Linked DNA regions of Schizosaccharomyces pombe. The gene in region 2 interacts genetically with the main gene of each other region. Each region holds a gene or a part of one and is shown on either strand. Other genes may lie near its edges. The genes, in order: nod1, rng2, rga7 and arf6.

Region 1 (4,270 bases), 1.9 Mb from region 2:
ATTGGTGTCCAAAAGCGAGTTTTTAGCCCATTCAGGTACTTGAGTGGAATTAAATATCTCATCAATTATATTTACGCCTAAATTAGTGGTTTCCATATTTGTGTCTTTAATTTTTCGATCTGACTGAGCGTGAGGAATAATAACTAAAAATATAAGAGGAAGAATAATTGACAGGAAAACACATAGGGAAACAAAAAATGTAAGGAGGATAGTAATAAGAAGAGCCTTCTTGTCAATTTCTCTACACCTTTTAGATGTAAAGTCATCAACACCGAGTGATTTAGAGTCACAAGATGACTCAGCTTCTAAAAGATTGCTCATATTTTATCAATAAAAAGAAAGAAAGATATTTTGATCCAATTATTAAAAGAAGGAACTACCGGGCCCTTGACAAGAAAAGAAACAAAGATAATGATACAACTCTTCAAAGGGAGGAAAGAAAGGAAGAACGTGCTTCAAACAAAAAATATGAACATGTAGTCATCAAACAGTATTTAAATTGCAAAACTATTACAATAATACCGATCCATCATTGTGACGTTAGCGGTGGAACATGCATATAAGTTAGCAGTTAACAAGTCATAAACATAATAAAAAGTTAATAACAATCTAAAAATATAAGTAAATTTCCAATAATTAAACGTAAAAGTGTTAAGTGCTTTCTGAAAGTTTTTGACGATATTCGTCGATCATTTTATCAACCCGACTTTTTTCTTGAATAATTTTTTCCTCTTTCAATCTCTTAGTACTTTGAAAAGAAGTCACTTCCTCCGTAAATGTTTCATGCAAAGCTTCAATCTCCTCACGGCTTTCCTCATATGACTTGGAAACTTCTTCCAGATCTTTACAGGCTTTAAGAAATTTCTCGTAAAGTGCCTCATAAATCGCCAAAGATACCAAGTTATCATTGGGATTTTGCAATGGTAAATCAGTTTGATAACCAATATTAGTTGTTTGAACTTCAGGTACGGGTATGGGAGGAAGTTTATGCTGCTTTAAAGCACGCGGAATCGGAGCTTGTAGATCGTGATCTTTCATTACATTTAGTTCAGAATTAAGGTTGAGTGTAGAGGAAGAATACCCATTATGTGCGGAGTGAAAGGCTTCAGCTTGAAGTGGTTGCAAATCATTGGAGTTAGGTGATTGATTAGAGTTATTTTGGAAATTATTTAGCGTAGAGTATTGAGAATTTTGAAAAGAAGAGACTCTGTTGTTAGTAGTGTTTTGCTTGTAGTTTACGCCATTAAGAGGTCCTTCAGAAACGACCCGCCTTGTTTGTTTTGGGGAAGGAGGATGGTGCAGCTGAAAAACTTCCCTAGCTTCAAGAGATAAATGTTCAACTGCATGATAGATTTCAAAAACATAACCCCTCGGTGCTACGACAGCCGATATAGAAGCAAAAAATTGGACATGTTCCTGATAATCTCCACTGAGTTTAGGAAGCAAAATTTGTACAATCGAGAAAAAAACAGACAACATTTTTAGCTTCATTTGAGAGAATTCAGAGAAAATATTTTTTAATTTTTCATTACACTCTTTTGGTGAGAAAGAATAAGCATCGTAATCGATTTGTTGAAGTCGTTTACAGAACTGCTCTTCAATTATATAACCAGCTTTCTCCGGGATTCGATCCTTTACATAAAATAAAAATGATCCAAATAGTATTTTGGATGGAACAGATTCTAATGAAAGCGATTGATAAGGATTTTCTGCAATCGACGTACTGAGACAAACCATTTCCTTTTCCTCGTCTTTAGAAAAATTTGCTAGAACATCTTCAATACTGTCTTTAATTGAGAAAGCCGCTTCATAACGTTTTAAACCAAAAACCAAATCATCGTAAACAGCGTCTTGGGGGGATTGCTTTCGTAAACTTTCTTGAATAGGCGGATTAGGCAATGGTTTTTCCATTTAAATATATCAGAAAAGTAAATTTCAATCGGTATGGAACACCCAATCAACAAATAGTAGATAAGCGTTTCAAGGAAATCTTCACTTTAGAATTGCGTTGTAGAAGTTTGAAACCAAAATTCGTCTAGTTGCTTAAACAGAAGTATTTACGAATAGAGAAAAAATTTGAGATTGGATGGATGTCTCACCATAAATTGCTAAGTATTTTAACTAAATAAAGTTTCCAAATCATGAAGAATTTGTTAGACACCAATAAAACATTTATTGAGCGTTCGTGGATATGTTTGATCTTATATGGAGCACTATGTATAAACACAACTCTAGTTAGTTTGAAACTTCATTGTTTCATCATTTATTGATTCCAAATACATCGAGCATACAGTAATGTCAAGATGTGTTCATTTTTATAGCTCAGCAATTCTACAATAGCACTTCATTAATGCTAAACACAATTTTTTCTTCCATTATAGTACACCGTTATAATATTTGATCAAGTGGATAATTCAGTAGAAAATGATTTAATTTTTTTTGCAACTGATATTTTATAGTAAGGAATCCTTCCAAAAAATGTTGAAATTAAAGATATTCTTTCTATAAAACGCGGCTTAGCCAAAGGAATGTATTTTCTATCTTTTATTTTTGTATGCAACCAAAAAGTACTAAAAACTAAATTATGACTAGTTTTTTCAATCACAATCCTTCGGCTTTCATAAAATTCAATATGACATCGTAGCAGCCTAAGAAAATAGCACCTCCTCCACTTAACCATAAGACTCGAGGAACTATACCTTTGTAAAGAGCAAGAAAGCCTTCATGGGCAACTATCGATTTAATTGTAAACACATAAGAAAGTCGCTAAACAAATTAGTATCAAAAGTGTATATCAAGGTAGTGATTCACGCGCAAAATTCTTTAGTTTAATCAAAAAATCAAACACATACCTGCTGAGATGTCATAATTCTCGTTTTAACAACATCAAATGGAGTTGTTAAAGCAGCGGCTATTCCACCTGCAATGGAGCCCGAGATAGCTGCTTCATGAGCTAAATTCTTATTTCGAGAATGTTTAATTCTCCATTTCAGTTTCAGGTGCTCCCAAATTGGGAATTGGATTAGTGTGAAAGGGATTTCCCTTGCAATAGTGATTCCATAACCAGCATAAAAATCGCGCCAGACATTGTTAGATTTTAAAATCGTTTGCAAAATATTTCTAGATGATAATGTTCCACCAGAAGCTTGTGCTCTTTGCTTAATTACTTCTGTAGGGACTCGAACTATACAAGCCGCAATTTCACCTAGAGAAGCTGAACACATATGAATTTGGGGATCTGATAGTCCAAGGCCAGACTGGGATAATCTGGATTTCATGTTTTCATAAGTAGTAAAAAATAAAGAGGCTAGTAGCGTTAGTGAGTTAGTTTATTATACACTTTGTGAACTTTGTAATATATTATAAGAGGTAATTTAATAAGTGTCTATCGTTTGTTAAGACCAGAGAAAGAAACCATACATTTAGATTACTTTCTTTCTTTTTTTTCATACCTCCTGGGGCACTGCCAACTAGTATACTGCCTAATCCCCGATATACACCATGAAACCCTCCATTTTTTACAAATCCTCCTTTTGCTTGTAGTCTAGTTTTAAGTGTATCAATAGGAAACAAGGATAGATCAACTGCCAATCCAGCACAGATTCCTGCCTAGAAATTTTTGATTAGTCCTCATTATAGTTATTTATGTTTGTTTTGTTTCTTACACCCAGAGCTTCAAAAAATGACATTGCTGAATGGCGCTTTGAGGGAGTGAAATGACACGTTCTAAGAAGTTGGTGTCGGTTCTTACCATGAAAAATATGAATTCTACCAAATTGACATACTTTGTTGTATATAATTAATTTGCTAAATACATCCCAGTACAAGCATATATTCCAATACATAATTTCTTTGATTCTACATTGCACATTCACCATCAAGTATAAAAAGGAAAACGAATTACTAAAAACATAGTTAAAAATCATCTGATGTTTGATTTGAATTTATAGCGATAAATACTCTTTTATATGTTGCATGAATTCAATATTTTGATAGTACAATTACAATAATAGCTATTGTTGTTTAAAAGTCACCAAAGGTTTAGTGGATTCTTTCCTTATGTAATGACTTTTCTGTGTTGCATGAATGTTTATATGATTAGAAAAACTCAAAATCAATGGATACTATCAAATTGAAAGAATTCTATAACAGTCTTGTTAGTATACGACGAAGGGTTGGTCACAGGCGGCTTGGTATGAACACTTTGTATTGTATCATAATTAAGACTAATAAGTTAGGGATAGCTGTGTCTGGGGGAGTGGACAGCATG
Region 2 (7,682 bases):
TTAATTGAAATATTATAATAGCTCAAATAGAAAAATTCCTAAACACACGTACAATAAGATACGTTGCAACGCGTTAACACACTGTCGCTCTAACTAAAGCTATCTGTTTCATTTAACCATAACCAAGATACTTCGATAATTTTCCGCTTAGTCGCCTCACAAATAGGTTAGTGCAATCTTTTTTCAAAACCCTCACACTTTGTAGAAACTCAAGAAAATGTCCTTTGATAGAAAAGATATTGGTATTAAGGGCCTCGTGTTGTACACTCCCAATCAGGTATGTTATAAATGAGTCGCTACTTTATTTCAAAACTTCTCCTCCAAATTATTTGCATGCATTACCTACATCTTTTTTCAATAGTACAAATTTACGCAAGCTTCAGAGGAAAGTAATAGAAATACTTTCTCATTAAATTCCTTCAGAACCTGATATTAATCGTTTTTACCCTATAGTATGTTGAACAAGCTGCCCTCGAAGCGCATGATGGAGTCTCTACTGGAAAGTATACTATTGGCCTCGGCTTGACTAAGATGGCTTTTGTCGACGATCGTGAAGACATTTATTCCTTTGGTCTTACCGCTCTTTCTCAACTTATCAAGAGATACCAAATTGATATAAGCAAGATTGGTCGTTTGGAAGTTGGAACTGAGACTATCATCGATAAATCTAAGTCTGTCAAAAGTGTTTTAATGCAACTTTTTGGGGATAACCACAATGTCGAAGGTATTGATTGTGTTAATGCCTGTTATGGTGGCGTGAACGCTCTTTTTAACACAATCGATTGGATTGAGTCTTCTGCTTGGGATGGCCGTGATGGTATAGTTGTCGCTGGTGATATTGCTCTCTATGCCAAGGGCAATGCTCGTCCTACCGGTGGTGCTGGTTGTGTCGCCCTTTTGGTTGGTCCTAATGCCCCTATTGTTTTTGAACCTGGTCTACGTGGTACTTACATGCAACATGCTTACGATTTTTACAAACCCGATTTGACGAGTGAATACCCTTACGTTGATGGCCATTTTTCTCTTGAATGTTATGTTAAAGCTCTTGATGGAGCATATGCTAATTACAATGTTCGTGATGTTGCTAAGAATGGAAAAAGTCAAGGACTTGGATTGGATCGTTTTGATTATTGCATTTTCCACGCTCCTACTTGCAAACAAGTCCAAAAAGCATATGCGCGTTTATTGTACACCGATAGCGCTGCTGAACCATCTAATCCCGAGTTGGAAGGTGTCCGTGAACTTCTTAGCACCCTGGATGCTAAGAAATCCCTTACCGACAAGGCTTTAGAAAAAGGTCTTATGGCCATAACTAAAGAGCGTTTTAACAAACGAGTTTCCCCTAGTGTCTATGCCCCTACCAACTGTGGTAATATGTACACTGCCAGTATTTTCTCTTGTTTAACTGCATTACTTAGCCGTGTCCCCGCTGATGAACTTAAAGGAAAACGCGTCGGTGCTTACTCTTATGGTTCTGGTTTGGCTGCCTCGTTTTTTTCATTCGTTGTCAAAGGCGACGTCTCTGAAATTGCCAAGAAAACTAACTTGGTTAACGATTTGGATAATCGTCATTGTTTAACCCCTACGCAGTATGAAGAGGCTATTGAGCTACGCCATCAAGCACACTTGAAAAAGAATTTTACTCCCAAAGGAAGCATCGAACGTCTTCGTTCAGGTACTTACTACCTTACTGGTATTGATGACATGTTCCGCCGTAGCTATTCGGTGAAGCCTTAAATCACCGAAAAAAAGATTAGAATGCAAACTAGATACTGTTAAAATCTCTTTTAGTAGACTTTTTTTTGATACATGAATATGTGATTTTGACAACTTTTTTGTTAATTATTTAAAACTCATACGTATTGTAGTCTTAAAATGAATAACCTTCATTTGTAATAGCATAACCTAAATAATTAGAGTAAATTCGTCACTAACGGACAGTATCTTGAATTAAACTACTTACACCTAAAAACCCCCCACTCATCTTGATAACCCACATTTTCTTTGTCTGAGTAACAGCTACTCTCCACTAACATAGCCGAAAAATTGTGTGCAGTTACTTTATCTAGTTTGAGATCGAATGCTGAGTAGGTAGTCATCAGAAGTCTCAATGGACGTAAATGTGGGATTATCTAGACTTCAATCTCAAGCTGGGGCACCTGTTGGCACGAAAGGGTCGAACACTCGTTTAGCAGCCAAACAAAGAGAAACCCTTCAAGCATATGATTATTTGTGTAGGGTTGATGAAGCAAAAAAATGGATAGAAGAATGCCTCGGCACAGATCTAGGACCAACGTCTACATTTGAGCAGTCGCTGCGAAACGGAGTTGTCTTGGCTCTCTTGGTTCAGAAATTTCAACCCGATAAACTAATCAAGATATTCTATTCTAATGAACTCCAGTTTCGCCATTCAGATAACATTAATAAGTTTCTTGACTTTATCCATGGCATTGGGCTTCCCGAAATTTTTCATTTCGAACTGACTGACATTTACGAAGGGAAAAATTTACCCAAAGTTATCTATTGTATTCATGCCCTTTCTTATTTCCTTTCTATGCAGGACTTGGCACCCCCTTTAATCAAGAGTGATGAAAATCTATCTTTTACTGATGAAGACGTTTCAATAATAGTCCGTAGACTCCGACAATCTAATGTAATCCTTCCTAACTTCAAAGCTTTAAGTGCCGATTTTATGCTTCGTGCTAGTCCTGTTTCTTCTCGCACTCCTTCCCCTACACGATTTCCCAAGCATGCTCGTTTCCAAACCCTAAATTCATCAGATTCTGCATCTATATATTCGTCTCCTTATACTTCTCCTACTTTAGAATTTTCGAAGAAAGATGCTAGCGCTCGTTCAGACATCCTTAAGATGCACAGAAGGACGAAATCAGCGACACCTTCGTTAGAACAATTTAATGAACCATATAAACAAACTTTGCCTAGTCATTCAATCGAATTCGAAGACTCTTTTTTTCAACCCCCTTCTCAAAAGGGACATATGCAACGATCTTTCCTCACAACATTTTCAGCACCCACAAGAAGACGGGAGGCACTATTTTCTACCACTTCTGGACTTAGTCAGCGTAGCCCTGTCGATGAGAAAATCGTGAACGCGATTCAAGCTTGTGGTCGTGGCGTACTTGTGCGCTTGCGTTTGGTGGATATGTTACAATCCCTCGTGGAACAAAGTTCTTCTGTCGTACTTCTGCAAGCCGTAATTCGTGGATATATATCTAGAAATACATACAGAATACGAAAGAAAGCATACGATGAACTTGTAAACTGGGTTACTTCTATTCAATCCATCTCTCGTGCATATCTGATACGTGCACAATACCGTAAAGTGGTTTTACAGGAGGAGGCAACGAAGTCAATCCAAACGTTACAAAGCATTATTCGTGGGGGTTTCTATCGTCGTAAATACCACTCGTTAATAGAGAGGCTAGACTTATTTACACCATCATTTGTGTTAATTCAATCCTCAGCTTTAGGATTTCTTACCCGTCATGCAATAGTTAATATGCTTGACAACCTTTACAACTATATCCCTCTCTTTAACCGGATGCAAAGTATACTGCGTGCAAATATGTTTCGGAATGAATGGTCTAACTTTCTAGATTCCGTACAATCGTTTCCCGTTTCTTTTCACTCTATTTGCAAAGGACGCTTGATAAGGGATTCTATAAACAGATTAAATGGATCACTTCTGGGAGAACTGGATAATTTTATTAAACTACAAAATTTATCTCGAGGATTTATGATTCGTCGGGCATTTAAAGAGAAATTGGAGAAATTAAAAGCATCAACATCCTCTTTCATTGCTCTACAGGCAATTGTTCGGGCTTTTCTTTTAAGAAAAAACTTGGAAAGCATTTATGATTCTTTTCAAAAATCGCACCTATCTGTCATTAAAGCCCAATCTCTTTATCGGGGATTCATTACTCGAACCAAAATTGATTATTGTAACGACTATTTGTTAAAGCGATTACCAGATATCGTGTTTATGCAATCTGCAGTCCGTGCAATTCTTTTACGAGATGATGTGAATTATACTGAAGTTCAGTTAGATTCTTTTATTCCTGAAATTGTATTGTTACAATCTTTAATTCGTGGGTATCTATCTCGAAACAAATTTTCAAGAAAACTTCAAAATTTTCATAAGAATATGGAGAATCCCATAGTTGCGAAGTCCATTTTTAGGGGTCGTCAAGAAGGGTTGGCTTATAGAGAACTTGCTACGGCCAAAAATCCACCTGTTATGACGGTCAAAAATTTTGTTCATTTATTAGACGACACCAATTTCGACTTTGAGGAAGAAGTATTGCTTGAAAAAATGAGAAAAGAAATTGTGCAACAAGTACGAGACAATGAAGAAATTGAAGTTCACATCAATGAACTAGACGTGAAGATTGCTTTGTTGGTTAAAAACAAAATCAGTTTGGATGATGTTTTAAAACATCACAACAAGTATAAATTTGGAAAGCAAAGCACTGAATATTTAAAAATTAATACTCTGTCTATGAAGTCACTCAACAATTCAAGCAGAAAATTTTTGGAACTTTATCAGTGTTTTTTCTATGTGTTACAAACCAACGAAATGTACTTAGCAAATTATTTTCAAGCGCTAAAAACTGAGGGCACTTCCTCTGTAAAGATCCGTCATGCTGTTTATTTAGTTTTGCAAATTTTCGGCCATGGCTCTAACCGACGAGAAGAAGTACTACTTTTGAGATTCATTTCCCAAGTCATTAAGCTAGAAGCAGCTTTAGTTAATTCATCTCAGGATCTACTTTCTGATGACTGTGTCTGGAAATTACTGTTCACTGGATATCGTGGGGACGTTCGTGAAGTGAAGCTTTGGAAAACTATTCTCGGCCGCATTCACAAGGTTTTAGTAGCCGACAATCATTTGGATTTTGAAATCAATCCGTTGACTCTATTTAAAAGTTTCAATCCTGAAGTTGCCAGTCAAACTGATAGTCCAAAACTCACTTTGTCGTTAGCAATGCAACACCCACCGACAAGAAATCTATACGTTAGCAGACTTCGTGAACTTCGAAAACTGTGTCAATCATTCCTAGTAGCACTTTCTAAGAATATTGAAAATATTCCTTATGCTTTATGCTATACTGCAGCACAATTGAAAAATAGCTTACAACGATATTTCCCCGCTGCGCATAAAGAAGAAATTTTTGGCGTAATAGGGAAATTTGTTTATTGGGCTTATGTCGCTCCTGTACTTGTGTCACCCGATAACTTCAAGTTGGTTGATGGCTCTATTACAGCTCTTCAACGAAAAAACCTTTACACATTGTCAAGCATTTTGTCTGAGATCTTTTCAATCGAGTCCTGTGACTCTAAGCAACTTGGTTTTTTTAGACCACTCTCCGAGTTTATTGAGGTGTCCAAGCAGGATACCATGTTGATGCTAGAAAGGCTTGTCGATGTGGTTGATCCAGAGGTGTACTTTGAGTTCGATGCTTTTGAAGACCTTGTTAATACCAAGCGGCCAGTAATATACATGAAGCGAGACGATATTTTAGGCATTTATTCATCTATTGCATATGTCATAGATAGTATTGCTCCTCCTGATGTGAACGATCCATTACGCGCTGTTGTCAATAGCTTAGGTCCTGTTTCAGAGCAAGACAATGACTTTGTGCAAGATGAAACTGACGTCAAACTAGAATTGAATCCCAAATTTTGCACTATAGAAAATCCCGTTGCTCAGGAACGGACTCTTATTGTTCAGACAAAGAGATATATATTATTTATTATTCGAATTCAAAATGGCCTTAATCTTTTGGAAATACTTGTCAAACCGGTTACAGATTCAGACGAAGCAGCATGGCAAAATTTATTGGCAGAAGAATCTGAAAAGAATGCAAGGAATTATGATTTGTTTGATGATTCTATCTTTTCAATGTCATTTGCAGAACTGAAATACACTGCACTAAGCAATATAGTGGAAATGGAAAAGCTTGGATTTGCAAACCGACGGAATAATTACCAAGATATGGTAAATTCTATCGCTCTAGATATCCGTAATAAGTCGAGAAGAAGGATGCAACGACAGCGTGAACTTGATGCGGGACATCAAAGTTTGCTTAACTTACGAGAAAAAAGAGCTTTCCTTGATTCGCAGCTAAAAAGTTATAACGAATACATTGAACAAGCTATGGAAACATTACAATCAAAGAAGGGTAAGAAGAAGCTTATTCCTTTTTCTAAACAGTATTTTCACATGCGAGATCTCCGAAAATCTGGACGCGTTCCTCGCTTTGGGTCGTTCAAGTACCCAGCTCTTAAACTCTATGACCGAGGAGTTTTGGTATCAATATCTCATATGCCGCAGAAAGAAAAATTGTATATTACTATATCAGCCGATGAAGTTGGCAAATTTATTCTGGAAGCAACAAGCCCGACAGTTAAAGTTTCGAGCCCAAGGTGTGAATTGCATTTGGACGACTTGTTGTCTGCTCAATATAACAAGGTTTTAACTTTGGATGTTTTGGATGGCCGTCTCAAATTAAACACCAATATGTTCTTACATTTGATTTTCTCCAAATTTTATTCATGAGACGTTTCACTTTGTTCATTTTTCCGTCTCTTTAACTACCCAATGATTTAATTCGAATTAACTTAAAACCGTCAAATATCTTTGCACATTAATACTTGTCCATATTCTTTTGGCGAAATATGTATACTATGTGATATTTTCTCCCCTTTAATTCTGATAATTTGCACAGTTTTCCCATTTCATTCACTTAGTGTGGGGGGTTTTTTTATCACTACTTGTGTTTACTTATACTGTACAAATCTTATTTAACTCGGTGTTATTTTTCAAATTTTTTTTTTCAACTAAAGCCGTTGAACCTGAAACACTAAATCAAGGAATAGGAATTTTTGGTTTATGCATACTAGTTGTACTTGGTAATTTATACTTTCTGAATTAGTTAAAGGTTTATAATTACAAATAACACTTTTTTATAACAAAATGTAATTTATGTCAATACATACATCTTTACTAATTCTTATAAGGCGATTCGATTGAGCATGATTATGTTCAAATTAACCTTTGGATATGGGTAGGTGTTTGGTTGACAAACTTCTTAAGCGTGTTGCATTTTAACGAAGAAAATTTGAATTTTCAAATCCCGTATAGCGTGTAAAAAAATATACATTAAACACGTATTATGAGCAGAAGACTACATAGACCTAATATGAAATAAAACGCACAAAAGAATATTACGCACAAATAATGGCGAGGGTCACCACCATACAAAGTAATATTCACTACCACAATTCAGCTGACAAATACCATTACCTAAATGGCGTCGTTACCACCGGGGAATCCTCCTCCACCGCCTCCTCCGCCTGGATTTGAGCCTCCTTCACAGCCTCCACCTCCTCCACCTCCAGGTTATGTGAAGAAAAGAAAAAACAAGACTCCAGCACAGTCTGGAAATCTTGAAAAGCAACTTAACGAAAGAGCACGCAAATGGCGCGCTTCTCAAAAATCAAAGTTTGGTGTCAAAAGGAAGCAGGGTTATGTTCAAACAGAGAAAGCTGATCTTCCGCCTGAGCACCTGCGCAAAATTATGAAAGACAGGGGAGATATGTCTTCTAGGAAGTTTCGTGCTGATAAACGTTCCTATTTGGGCGCTTTGAAGTACTTGCCA
Region 3 (5,575 bases), on a different chromosome or scaffold from region 2:
GTTATGTTAGCATAACAGATATAAATCGCAATACATCGTTAATAGAACACACAATAATTACTATAGAATAACTCAACGCAAATGGGGTACACAAAATATTACATTATAATCTTCAGTGAATGTAACTCTAAGAAGCATATTTAAATCAATTTCAAAATTCTTTATTAAATACCATAAATATTACCATTATTATCTTTTAACTTTATTCTTTCTAGGCTGGTACTTATAACCAGGGTACATTTTCTGATGTTGTGCTTTATAAAACTCAGACATCTTAAAATATCGCATACGTACTTCCTTTGATTCGTTTCTCCACATCTCTCCAACCAGCTTGGAAACTTGTGAATTATTGATGGAAGGGTTAGACTTTAATAATGTAGCATGTTTTTCCTTCCTGTATAATATAAAAGCATTAGGGGGTCTCGGAGTACGTTCAGTAGACGTAGTGTCTTTCCGTAAACTCTTCAAAATATAGCCGGGAACTTTACATTGATCCAATGTGAAGGATATTGGTTGAGGTCTTGGCAGTTGTGCAGAATTCCCATCCAACAGGTAGCTTTGTGAGTTAGGAATGAGTATAGGAGTAAAGCCATCAGGAACAAAGTAAGCAGCACCTTTGCCAGTTTCAATTGAATGAAGAGCATCCTTTGTAAGGTATCTTTTAAAACACCAGTCTGGATCTAAAAAGTCGTAGGAAATAGGGGAACCCGCTGATAATTCTTGGTGTGAGTCCATTGTAGTTGTGAGTGCAAGGTAGGTGTAGAGTGTGGAGGGTATTTAACTACTTACAGAACAAAGAAACCCAAAAACAAAGGAACAAAATACACTAAAACACAATAATTTAATCTAAAGCACAATACATACTAATAATGTCAGCAGAAGACCTTTTTACAATTCAAATCCTATGTGATCAAATTGAGTTAAAACTTGCATCCATTGTAATAAATTCTAACATCAAATTACAACTTAAACGTAAAAAAAAGACACAACAATTATAAACTACATATAAGCAGGGTTCAGTAAATTGGGAAGGCGTTTCTGGCTATTAGGTTGTATGGCTATTAAATTAAAGGTTGTATGCTATACAAATGCATATGCATATGCATACAGAAAAATACTACCTCTTCCAATATTTTTCCTTCAACTACTCTCTCTTCTTTTCCTACCCTTCTTCTCACTCTCTTTTCCTTTCACGGCTAACCCACTATTTTCTCTCCTTTCTCTTTCTTTGTTCCTACCCAAACAAAGAAATAGTTACCATAGCTACTACAACAAAGCAAGCACTCATCCCACTTAATGTGGGGTCCCCTAAAGAATTCCCGTCTAATGAGAATTAGGAACGTTTCATTGTCAAGTTCGTTATTAAGTTATTTAAGAAAATATAATACTGATTAAAAATATATCGGTATAACAAATACAAAAATTAAACAGTCGCAATAAAACATGTTGACAAACCTGTAGTCATAGAATAAACATAATGTTATTATATTAACAGTAGGCTCTAAGGATTTATTATTGTTTTTACATATTCGTTCATGACAAAAAAAGTATTACAAACAACTTGCAATAGAATAATCCTACTTATTTGTTCTTTTCATTCACCTAATCCTCTCCCCCATTTGGAAAGGGTATGGCATTTTACTCGAATAACGCAACCAACTTTCTGTCTCCTTATTTTGCTATCCCCCACTTAGAAAGGGTATGACACTTTTCCTTAAATAACACAATCAACTCTTTCTCCTTATACCCTTCTTCCCCTTACCGCCTTCCTACTCACCTCAGTCTTTACCCCCACGTATCTCTACCTCCCACTTGGAAAGGGTATGACACTTACCTCGAATACCACAGTCAACTCTTCCTTCCTTTTCAACCCTCCCTCACTATACTTCATCCCACTTAAAAAGGGTATGGCAGAAACGTTATACAACGCAATTTGTATTTTATTCTTTTCCTTTACCTTCCTATCTTAAACTCATTTTCATCCCCCACACTCAACCTCCCAATTCCAAACTTTTAGCTTCGTTACATCTCCGTAATTTGAACTACTCATACCTCCTTAATCCTCTTTATCTCTTCCTCTACCGTCCTCTCCTTACCCTTTCCTCGTTTACATCCTCTATACTCGCTATACTACTCAAACCAACCACCCACTACCAATTCCTTACAAACAAAGAATTCACCCTTCTTTCCTCTATCATTCTTTGCTTGCTCAAGTGATTTTATATATTTTCGCGTTTACCGCGCTTCTTTTGTTATTTTTACTCTTTCTATTCTCTCACTCTATTTACTTCTCTTGCTCCCGCCCATCACTCAACTCCTTCAATGCTGTCGGCTCCCTCCTCCTCTACCACTCCCGCTTCCCCACCAACATCGCCTCCAAATACCACTTCCTCTGATGATTTCGCAGTTCTCAAAGAACCAAAAGTCGAAGCGATCCTCAATTCGGAACTTGGTCTAGCAATCCTAAATGATCGCATTAAAGACTACCTCCTCACTTGCAAAGAACTCGCCGGATTCTTTAAAAAGCGTTCCATTCTCGAAGAAGAAAGTGGAAAAAATTTACAAAAACTTGCTAAATCCTACCTAGAGACGTTTCAATCCAAACACCACTCTCCCCAATCTTTTTCCGCCTCTGTCATTACGAGTATGGAAATTCATGAACAACTTGCCAATCACAGTTTAACCCTTCAAAAAACTCTTTCTGCATTTTCCGATCAAGTCATCGAATTTCACAAAAACGCAGAACGCAAACGAAAATCCATCAAGGAATATGCGAAAAAACAAGAAAACGCATATTTAGAAGCCGTTATGCAAATGGATAAATCCAAATCTCGCTTTAAGGGTGCCGAAACCGAGTACAACCGCGCTCTCGACAACAAAAACACTGGAGACTCCCAGAAGAAGGTTGGTTTTTTTAAACCAAAATCTAATGCTCAGCTCACCAAACTCGAAGATGAAGCTCGCCTTAAGGCCGAAAATGCAGAATCAGATATGCACAGTAAGATTGAAAACGCTCAAAACGTTCAAAAACAACTTTTGTGTATTCACCGACCAAACTACATAAAGCAATTCTTTTCCCTTCAACGCGAAATTGAAAGCTCACTCATTGCAAACTATCTACGGTACACAAAGCTCTGCGAGTCAAACACCCTGCTCAACGGTCTCACAATCCGTCCACAAAAGCCCACTCCTACCAACTGTGGTTTACAACATGCTTTGGATAATATAAATGCAAATACCGATTTTGTTCAATACGTCCTTCACGCCTCCATCAAGCATGAAGATAACAAAAATCCAACCGACGCTTCTAAAACAAAAATCATTCAACCTCCAAGCTCTTACGGAACTGGTTCCTCTGCCGGAAAAACCAATCCACCCGTCAACCCCACCATCAAGGTTACTGCTGCTATTCCCTCTCCCCTACAAAACACTAATCCTGCTCCATCCACTTTTCCCAACCCTTCTGTGGCTTCCCCTGCCTTCCCAAACTCATCTACTTCCAATCCCTCTACTGCTCCCGCTTCAGCCTCTCCTTTGGCTTCTACCCTAAAACCTAGTACCGCCAATGACACAAACGGTTCTTCTTCATCCTCTTCTTCCAATCCTCGTACCTCTTCTCCACTCGCTTCTAATGCAGAAAACAAGCCCCCTGTTGCCCAACAATCACCTCCCGTACTACTTCCTACTTTACCTCCCATCCAGACGACAACGATTCAAACGTCTCGAGAAGTCGCACCACCGCCTTCTAGCATCAACTCAAACCGTGCTGCATCTCCCTTCCGACCAACTTCTGTCTCCCCTCAACCTTCCTCTCCTACGAAATCGTTACTCTTTGGTGCTCGATTAGACGCAATCATTCTACGAGAACATTCCAACATTCCAAACATCGTAATGCAATGCACTTCCCAAGTCGAAAATTTTGGTCTCAACCTCCAGGGCATCTACCGTGTTCCCAGCTCTTCCGCCCGTGTCAACATGTTACGTTCTCAATTTGAGAATAATCCTCTCTTACAATTACATACACCTGAGGACTATGAAAACGACGTTCATGCAGTCGCTGATCTACTAAAAATCTTTTTCCGTGAACTACGTGAACCGTTAATTCCCGACAATCATCAAAGAGACTTTATCGACGCAGGTAACGTTGAAGACGAATCCAGAAGAAGAGATGCCGTCCATCGTGCGATCAACGATCTTCCCGATGCCAACTACTCTACCATTCGTCATTTAACCATACATCTTGCTAAAATTAAAGAAAACAGCGATGTAAACAAAATGTCGACAAACAATTTGGCCATTATTTGGGGACCTACTATCATTAAGCAAGCTACTATCCCAGAAATTAGCAGTTTCTCTAGAACTATCGAAATTCTTATCGACTATTGTTTCACAATTTTTGACTACGATTAAAAGATCATTTTCTGTATTATTTACTGCTTACCATCTTTTTTTTCTCTTTTTATATTTTTTTCCTTTGCGTCAATAAAGCACACTTGACACTATTCTCTCTTTCTTGGATTTTGTATGCTTCCACCTCTTTCCCCTTTTTATCCCTTTCCTTACCTTGTTTTTATCCTAAACTTTTGTTTGTCTACAAATTCATTCTTTTCTTTACTGTCAATTCCGTTCACAATTTTAATCCATAGTTTAGACAACCTTCATAACGTAATAATGGAAATTATCTACGATTTTATAAACCAAATGAATTCCTTTTATTTTTTTTTCTTCTATATAGACCTTCAAATACTCTATATTTTTGTAAACGATAGATTTATATTTTTTTTTACATTTTTCCTGTACTATTCGACGGTCCACGAACTGAACGTATCCCTAACACCAAAATTTTAAAACATGCAATTATGAGCTACACGACAACAGACGCTGATGCTTTGGATGATCAACTTGATTATCAGGTAGATTTAGTTTCAGAAATTTCAGTTTCGGATGAAGAATCTGCACAACCTACTACAATAACTGAAAATTTTACTGCTTCTCAAAACAACGATTCAGCGAAACGTGAAAAAAGAAAAAAACAACGCCAAAAACAAAAGGAAAGGAAAAGAGCTAAATTGTTAGAACTACAAGACACAAACGCTTCAATCATCCAGAGTCCAGACACGCTGTCCGATTTGTTAAATAATTACATAAAAAGCATTTATAGTGATCTTACCGATGTAGAATTGTCAGATAAAGTGATTAAAGGTATAATTGCTTATTATTCTTTTTTTTTTTACTTCACTTTACTAACTCACTATAAGCATCTTACATTGAAGATACGATCAGCTTCAGCAAACCTAAAACAGTAGACAATTATCCAGAATACATTCAACATCTTCCCGGTTTTACTAAAAAAGTTGTTCAAAACAGTAATCCTGAGATTCTTGTCCTATGCATATCTGCATTACGTGCCATCGACGTTTTGAAACCAACGAAATCATTACAAAACAAAAATTTCAAAGTTGCAAAGCTTTTCGGAAAACATATTCGATTAGAGGAACACATAAATTATTGTAAAGCAAACAAAATAGGTGTTGGTATAGGAACTACTCCTAGAATTGCCCAATTGACTAACGGT
Region 4 (4,369 bases), on a different chromosome or scaffold from region 2:
TAAAGTTATCGGCGTTAATAACAGGAATTTGCATAGTTTTGAAGTAGACCTTTCCACTACATCAAAATTAGCCGAAATGGTCCCAGATGATGTTATTCTTGCAGCTCTCAGTGGAATTAGTAGTCCTGCTGATGTTGCCCATTATAGTAGTCAAGGTGTATCAGCAGTTCTTGTTGGTGAATCTCTTATGAGAGCTTCGGATCCTGCCGCTTTTGCACGAGAGTTACTTAATCTTTCTTCTAGCGAGATATCTAATGGTAAAAAAACATCAACACCCCTAGTGAAGGTATGTGGTACTCGTTCATTGTTAGCTGCTAAAACCATTGTAGAATCAGGAGGCGATTTGATAGGGTTAATTTTTGTGGAAAAGAGCAAACGAAAAGTGGACTTGTCCGTGGCCAAGGAAATTTCACATTTTGTTCATACAACCAATAGAAAACACATTTCCCCAAAGAAAGCAGTGACTGGTCAAAGTTGGTTTGATCATCAGTATGAAAATCTTGCTTCCTCTCCGCACCCTTTGTTAGTCGGTGTGTTCCAAAATCAACCATTAGAATACATTCGTTCTATAATAGCAGAAGTGAACTTGGATATTGTCCAGCTTCATGGACAAGAACCTTTCGAATGGATACATATGCTCGATAGACCTGTTATTAAGGTGTTTCCGCTAAATTCTTCTGAAATTTCAAGGCCCAACTATCATATTGTACCTTTGATTGATGCATATGTCGGTGGAGAGTCAGGAGGTTTAGGCAAGAAAGTAGACTGGGAAGCTGCATCTTTCATTCCAGTATCTTATGTCTTAGCTGGTGGTCTAACACCTAAAAATGTACAAGATGCTATATCTGTTAGCCGCCCAGCTGTAGTCGATGTATCGAGTGGGGTGGAGACTGACGGGAAACAAGATCTTGAAAAGATCAAGGCATTTATAAACGCCGTAAAAGAACTTTAACTTGTCTACATTAAATCAAGTTTGTCTAGATGTTTTTGGATACATATCATGAGACTTCGCTTAAAATAACTGGTTTTAGATTTTGTTGGATAAGAAGTGTGCGATAATTATATTATCTGGTTATTGATCACTTTTCTGTATTAAATTAAGAAATATTTTATTGACAAAAATGGCTGTTATCCAAATGTATTTGGCCGAATGAAGCACATTATAAAGTGATAGTAGGAATAGGGAAACGATTGGCAATAGTAAAGTTATATGCTAAAGAAAGAAAATGAATAGTAAAGACTGTACAGATTTAATTAAGCAACGATAAAGGGATAGAACGGAAGCTGATCGATGTAATTATTTGCAATTCTTGGGATAACGAACGAAATAAACACCATGTATTAACAAATCAAAGAAGCAAATTATTTTAACTTTGCGTTTTGACTTAGCCAAGCCAGACCCTCCAACAGCCCGTCTCCTGTAAGAGCACATGTTGGCTGAACGTTCCATAAACGATCCTTCAATTTGTCTAGCTGCAAAACATCGGTAATTTGAGCAGGTGAAAGAGCTACCATAGTGTTAGCATAAGTTATTCGGATTCGCAACCTTACCTCCAGGCAAATCCTGTTTATTAGCCAACACCAAAAGAAGACAGTCCCGCATTTCACGATCTGAAATAATGCGATGCAATTCTTGACGAGCTTCTGATATACGATTGCTGTCGGCAGAGTCAACAACAAAAATTAATCCTTTGGTTCCAGTAAAATAATGCCGCCATAAAGGTCGTATTTTATCTTGACCTCCAACATCCTACAAACAAATCAACGTTAGAACATGCTCGACCCAAGATTGATTATAAATATACCCAAACGTTAAACTTGATGTTTTTGTAAGTGACTGTTTCGACGTTAAAACCCACAGTGGGAATGGTGACAACACTGGCTGTTAGTTAATGAACACAAGAAAAATCAATTTCATTTACGGAAGCATAATTGCAACTCAAGATAATGCGCGACAGTAGACTTCACTGATTAATTAACCAACAGTCTTCGTAATGAAATCTATATCTACTATGCTAATACAGAAGCAGCGCATACGATACCTTGACACAATCGAAGAATGCTGTTTAGTGCTCTTTACCTTTGATTGAGTTTTAATTTGTATAAGATAGCTAAAATGTTAATAAAAGAGTTACCATTATTAAAACACCAAGTTAAGCACGATTATACGGAATGAAGACTGTAAAAATCCATCCGAATAAAAAACATACTCGTTTTTCCAGCTGCATCCAGACCTAGCATTAAGATACGCATTTCCTTGTTAGAAAACAACCGACTAAATGGCTTTGAAAACCCCTTAAATAGTGAATTGCCCATGGTATCAAATAATCCCAGAAGAAGATAACCAAAAGAAAGAATAGACCAAAAAAACCAAAGAAGTAGAATTTATATTGAACCCAGATACAGGGCTTTCTTCGTACTTTAAAAGACGGCTAGCACTAAACGTAGGTGCAGCTGATATCAACTCTCTCTGTCTGAAATATTTAATTAAGCCGAGCTGATACATAATGTAAATTAACGAGCTGCGTAACTGAATTATATGGAAGCCCATGGTCTTGTACTATATCGTAAATCCCATGTACGAATAATAAATTAAATATTAAGAATATTATTTTTATCGATTAACTTTTGGAATTTCCATCAAGTTTATTGAATAGAAACATTCTCATTCCCTTGCCTAATAACGCAGATTTATATTACTCAACTTTAACAGTGTATGTTAATGATTTGAAGCCTCATTATTTAAAGTATTTTTCAAAAAAAAATAAAAATAAAAAACAATCATATAAAATAACATTTAGTAGAAGAAGGCTTCAAGTATTGAATTATAAACAAACTAATGTTTTCGTAACATATGTTTCTATGCTAGCACTGTATTTTAAATTGTACTTTTTAATATTGATTCTTTATTTTTGTATGTATATCTCTCTATCTAGCAAGTGACTATTGAGATACAAGATCGACGATGATCGACAATTTTCATCCGAGTCGCGACCTATCTAGTAGTAAGCATATGTAATAAGTAAGTAGACCTAAATGTTAAAACTGTAACAGTCTTTCTACCAAATACACATTCTGAGATAGTCTTTAATGAAACATGTCTTTCGAAGGTAAAACGATCACTTGCAAGGTATGAAAAAGAAAACGTAAATCATTGTCTAAAGTGTAAATGATATTGGTGCTGTAAGTCCACCAAAGGTTTACTTTTGATATTATTGTTCATCCATGAGTATATGGATAATTATCTTTTATTTTTTCTTTCTGTGTACTAATAACATTCGTTTTAGGCAGCCGTAGCTTGGGGTGCAAAGGAACCTTTATCTATAGAGGAGTAAGTATAATGATGACAAAAGGAAAAGAATTTATACTTGAATTTTATTACTAACTTTTGACTTCTCTTCTGCTCATCAACGGGCAGAATGGGAGGTGATACTACAGTATTCAGGTTGCCCCTCCAAAAGCTCATGAGGTTCGTGTGAAAGTCGATTGGAGTGCTGTTTGTCACACAGATGCTTACACGCTGTCTGGTGTAGATCCAGAAGGCGCATTCCCTATTGTTCTTGGTCATGAGGGTGCTGGTATTGTGGAAAGCATTGGCGAAGGGGTTATCAACGTGCGTCCTGGAGACCATGTTATTTTGCTATATACTCCGGAATGTAAAGAGTGTAAATTCTGTCGTAGTGGTAAAACTAATTTGTGCTCCAAAATTCGTGAAACACAAGGTCGAGGTTTAATGCCTGACGGTACTAGTCGCTTTTCCTGTCGCGATAAAACGTTGCTTCATTACATGGGATGTTCTAGCTTTAGTCAATACACAGTTGTAGCTGATATCTCGCTTGTGGCTATTTCACACTCCGCACCTCTTCGCAGTATTTGCTTGTTGGGCTGCGGTGTCACAACTGGATTTGGTGCTGTGACACACTCTGCTAAGGTTGAGTCTGGTTCAACGGTAGCTGTTGTTGGATGTGGATGCGTAGGTCTCGCTGCAATGCAGGGTGCGGTTGCAGCTGGTGCTTCGAGAATCATTGCTATTGATATCAATGCAGATAAGGAAGTATATGCCAAGAAATTTGGTGCTACTGACTTTATCGATTCTTCTAAAGTTAAAGACCTCGTACAGTATGTTATTGATGTGACTGATGGTGGTGTTGACTATGCATTTGATTGCACTGGAAATGTCACTGTCATGCAGCAGGAACTTCAATTCTGCCACAAAGGTTGGGGTAAACTGTGTGTTATAGGCGTCGCCGCAGCTGGTAAAACCCTTGATTTTCGTCCATTCCTTGTAGTAACTGGTCGTCAAGTGTTGGGTTCAGCTTTTGGAGGAGTTAAAGGGCGTTCTGAATTGCCGAACTTTGTTGATGAGTAC

What was found.
Region 1: of rng2 (region 2) and nod1, changing one enhances a phenotype caused by changing the other (phenotypic enhancement), as found in Schizosaccharomyces pombe (one study listed by BioGRID).
Region 3: mutations in rng2 (region 2) and rga7 are lethal when combined (synthetic lethality), as found in Schizosaccharomyces pombe (one study listed by BioGRID).
Region 4: of rng2 (region 2) and arf6, changing one enhances a phenotype caused by changing the other (phenotypic enhancement), as found in Schizosaccharomyces pombe (one study listed by BioGRID).

What each region holds. Positions count from the first base shown.
Region 1 is NC_003424.3:4,587,906-4,592,175, reverse strand, and holds nod1 (protein Nod1), read right to left. Parts: upstream 2,011-4,270; 5' UTR 1,912-2,010; coding exon 652-1,911; downstream 1-651. Other genes in the region: glucan glucosidase exg2, read right to left, coding at 1-321; pet801 (putative S-adenosylmethionine transporter), read right to left, coding at 2,602-2,766, 2,853-3,307, 3,453-3,609, 3,666-3,689; til1 (tRNA(Ile)-lysidine synthetase family protein), read left to right, coding at 4,118-4,193, 4,239-4,270.
Region 2 is NC_003424.3:2,643,407-2,651,088, forward strand, and holds rng2 (IQ motif containing GTPase activating protein), read left to right. Parts: upstream 1-2,021; 5' UTR 2,022-2,110; coding exon 2,111-6,580; 3' UTR 6,581-7,021; downstream 7,022-7,682. Other genes in the region: hcs1 (3-hydroxy-3-methylglutaryl-CoA synthase), read left to right, coding at 218-277, 454-1,737; U5 snRNP complex subunit Spp42, read left to right, coding at 7,332-7,682. UniProt on the Schizosaccharomyces pombe protein: Component of the contractile F-actin ring; required for its construction following assembly of F-actin at the division site.
Region 3 is NC_003423.3:2,109,642-2,115,216, reverse strand, and holds rga7 (Rho-type GTPase-activating protein Rga7), read left to right. Parts: upstream 1-2,141; 5' UTR 2,142-2,322; coding exon 2,323-4,410; 3' UTR 4,411-4,732; downstream 4,733-5,575. Other genes in the region: mat1-Mc (M-specific transcription factor Mc), read right to left, coding at 190-735; mat1-Mi (M-specific transcription factor Mi), read left to right, coding at 870-998; cms1 (U3-containing 90S preribosome complex subunit), read left to right, coding at 4,860-5,202, 5,259-5,573.
Region 4 is NC_003423.3:4,373,804-4,378,172, reverse strand, and holds arf6 (ADP-ribosylation factor-like protein Arf6), read right to left. Parts: upstream 2,445-4,369; 5' UTR 2,317-2,444; coding exon 2,211-2,316; exon of another isoform or gene 2,112-2,210; coding exon 2,081-2,111; exon of another isoform or gene 1,879-2,080; coding exon 1,806-1,878; exon of another isoform or gene 1,751-1,805; coding exon 1,552-1,750; exon of another isoform or gene 1,509-1,551; coding exon 1,363-1,508; 3' UTR 996-1,362; downstream 1-995. Other genes in the region: trp1 (anthranilate synthase component II), read left to right, coding at 1-952; fmd1 (glutathione-dependent formaldehyde dehydrogenase), read left to right, coding at 3,098-3,130, 3,288-3,331, 3,439-4,369. UniProt on the Schizosaccharomyces pombe protein: GTP-binding protein that functions as a molecular switch for the activation of 'new end take off' (NETO), a process in which the directions of cell growth change from a monopolar manner to a bipolar manner in fission yeast.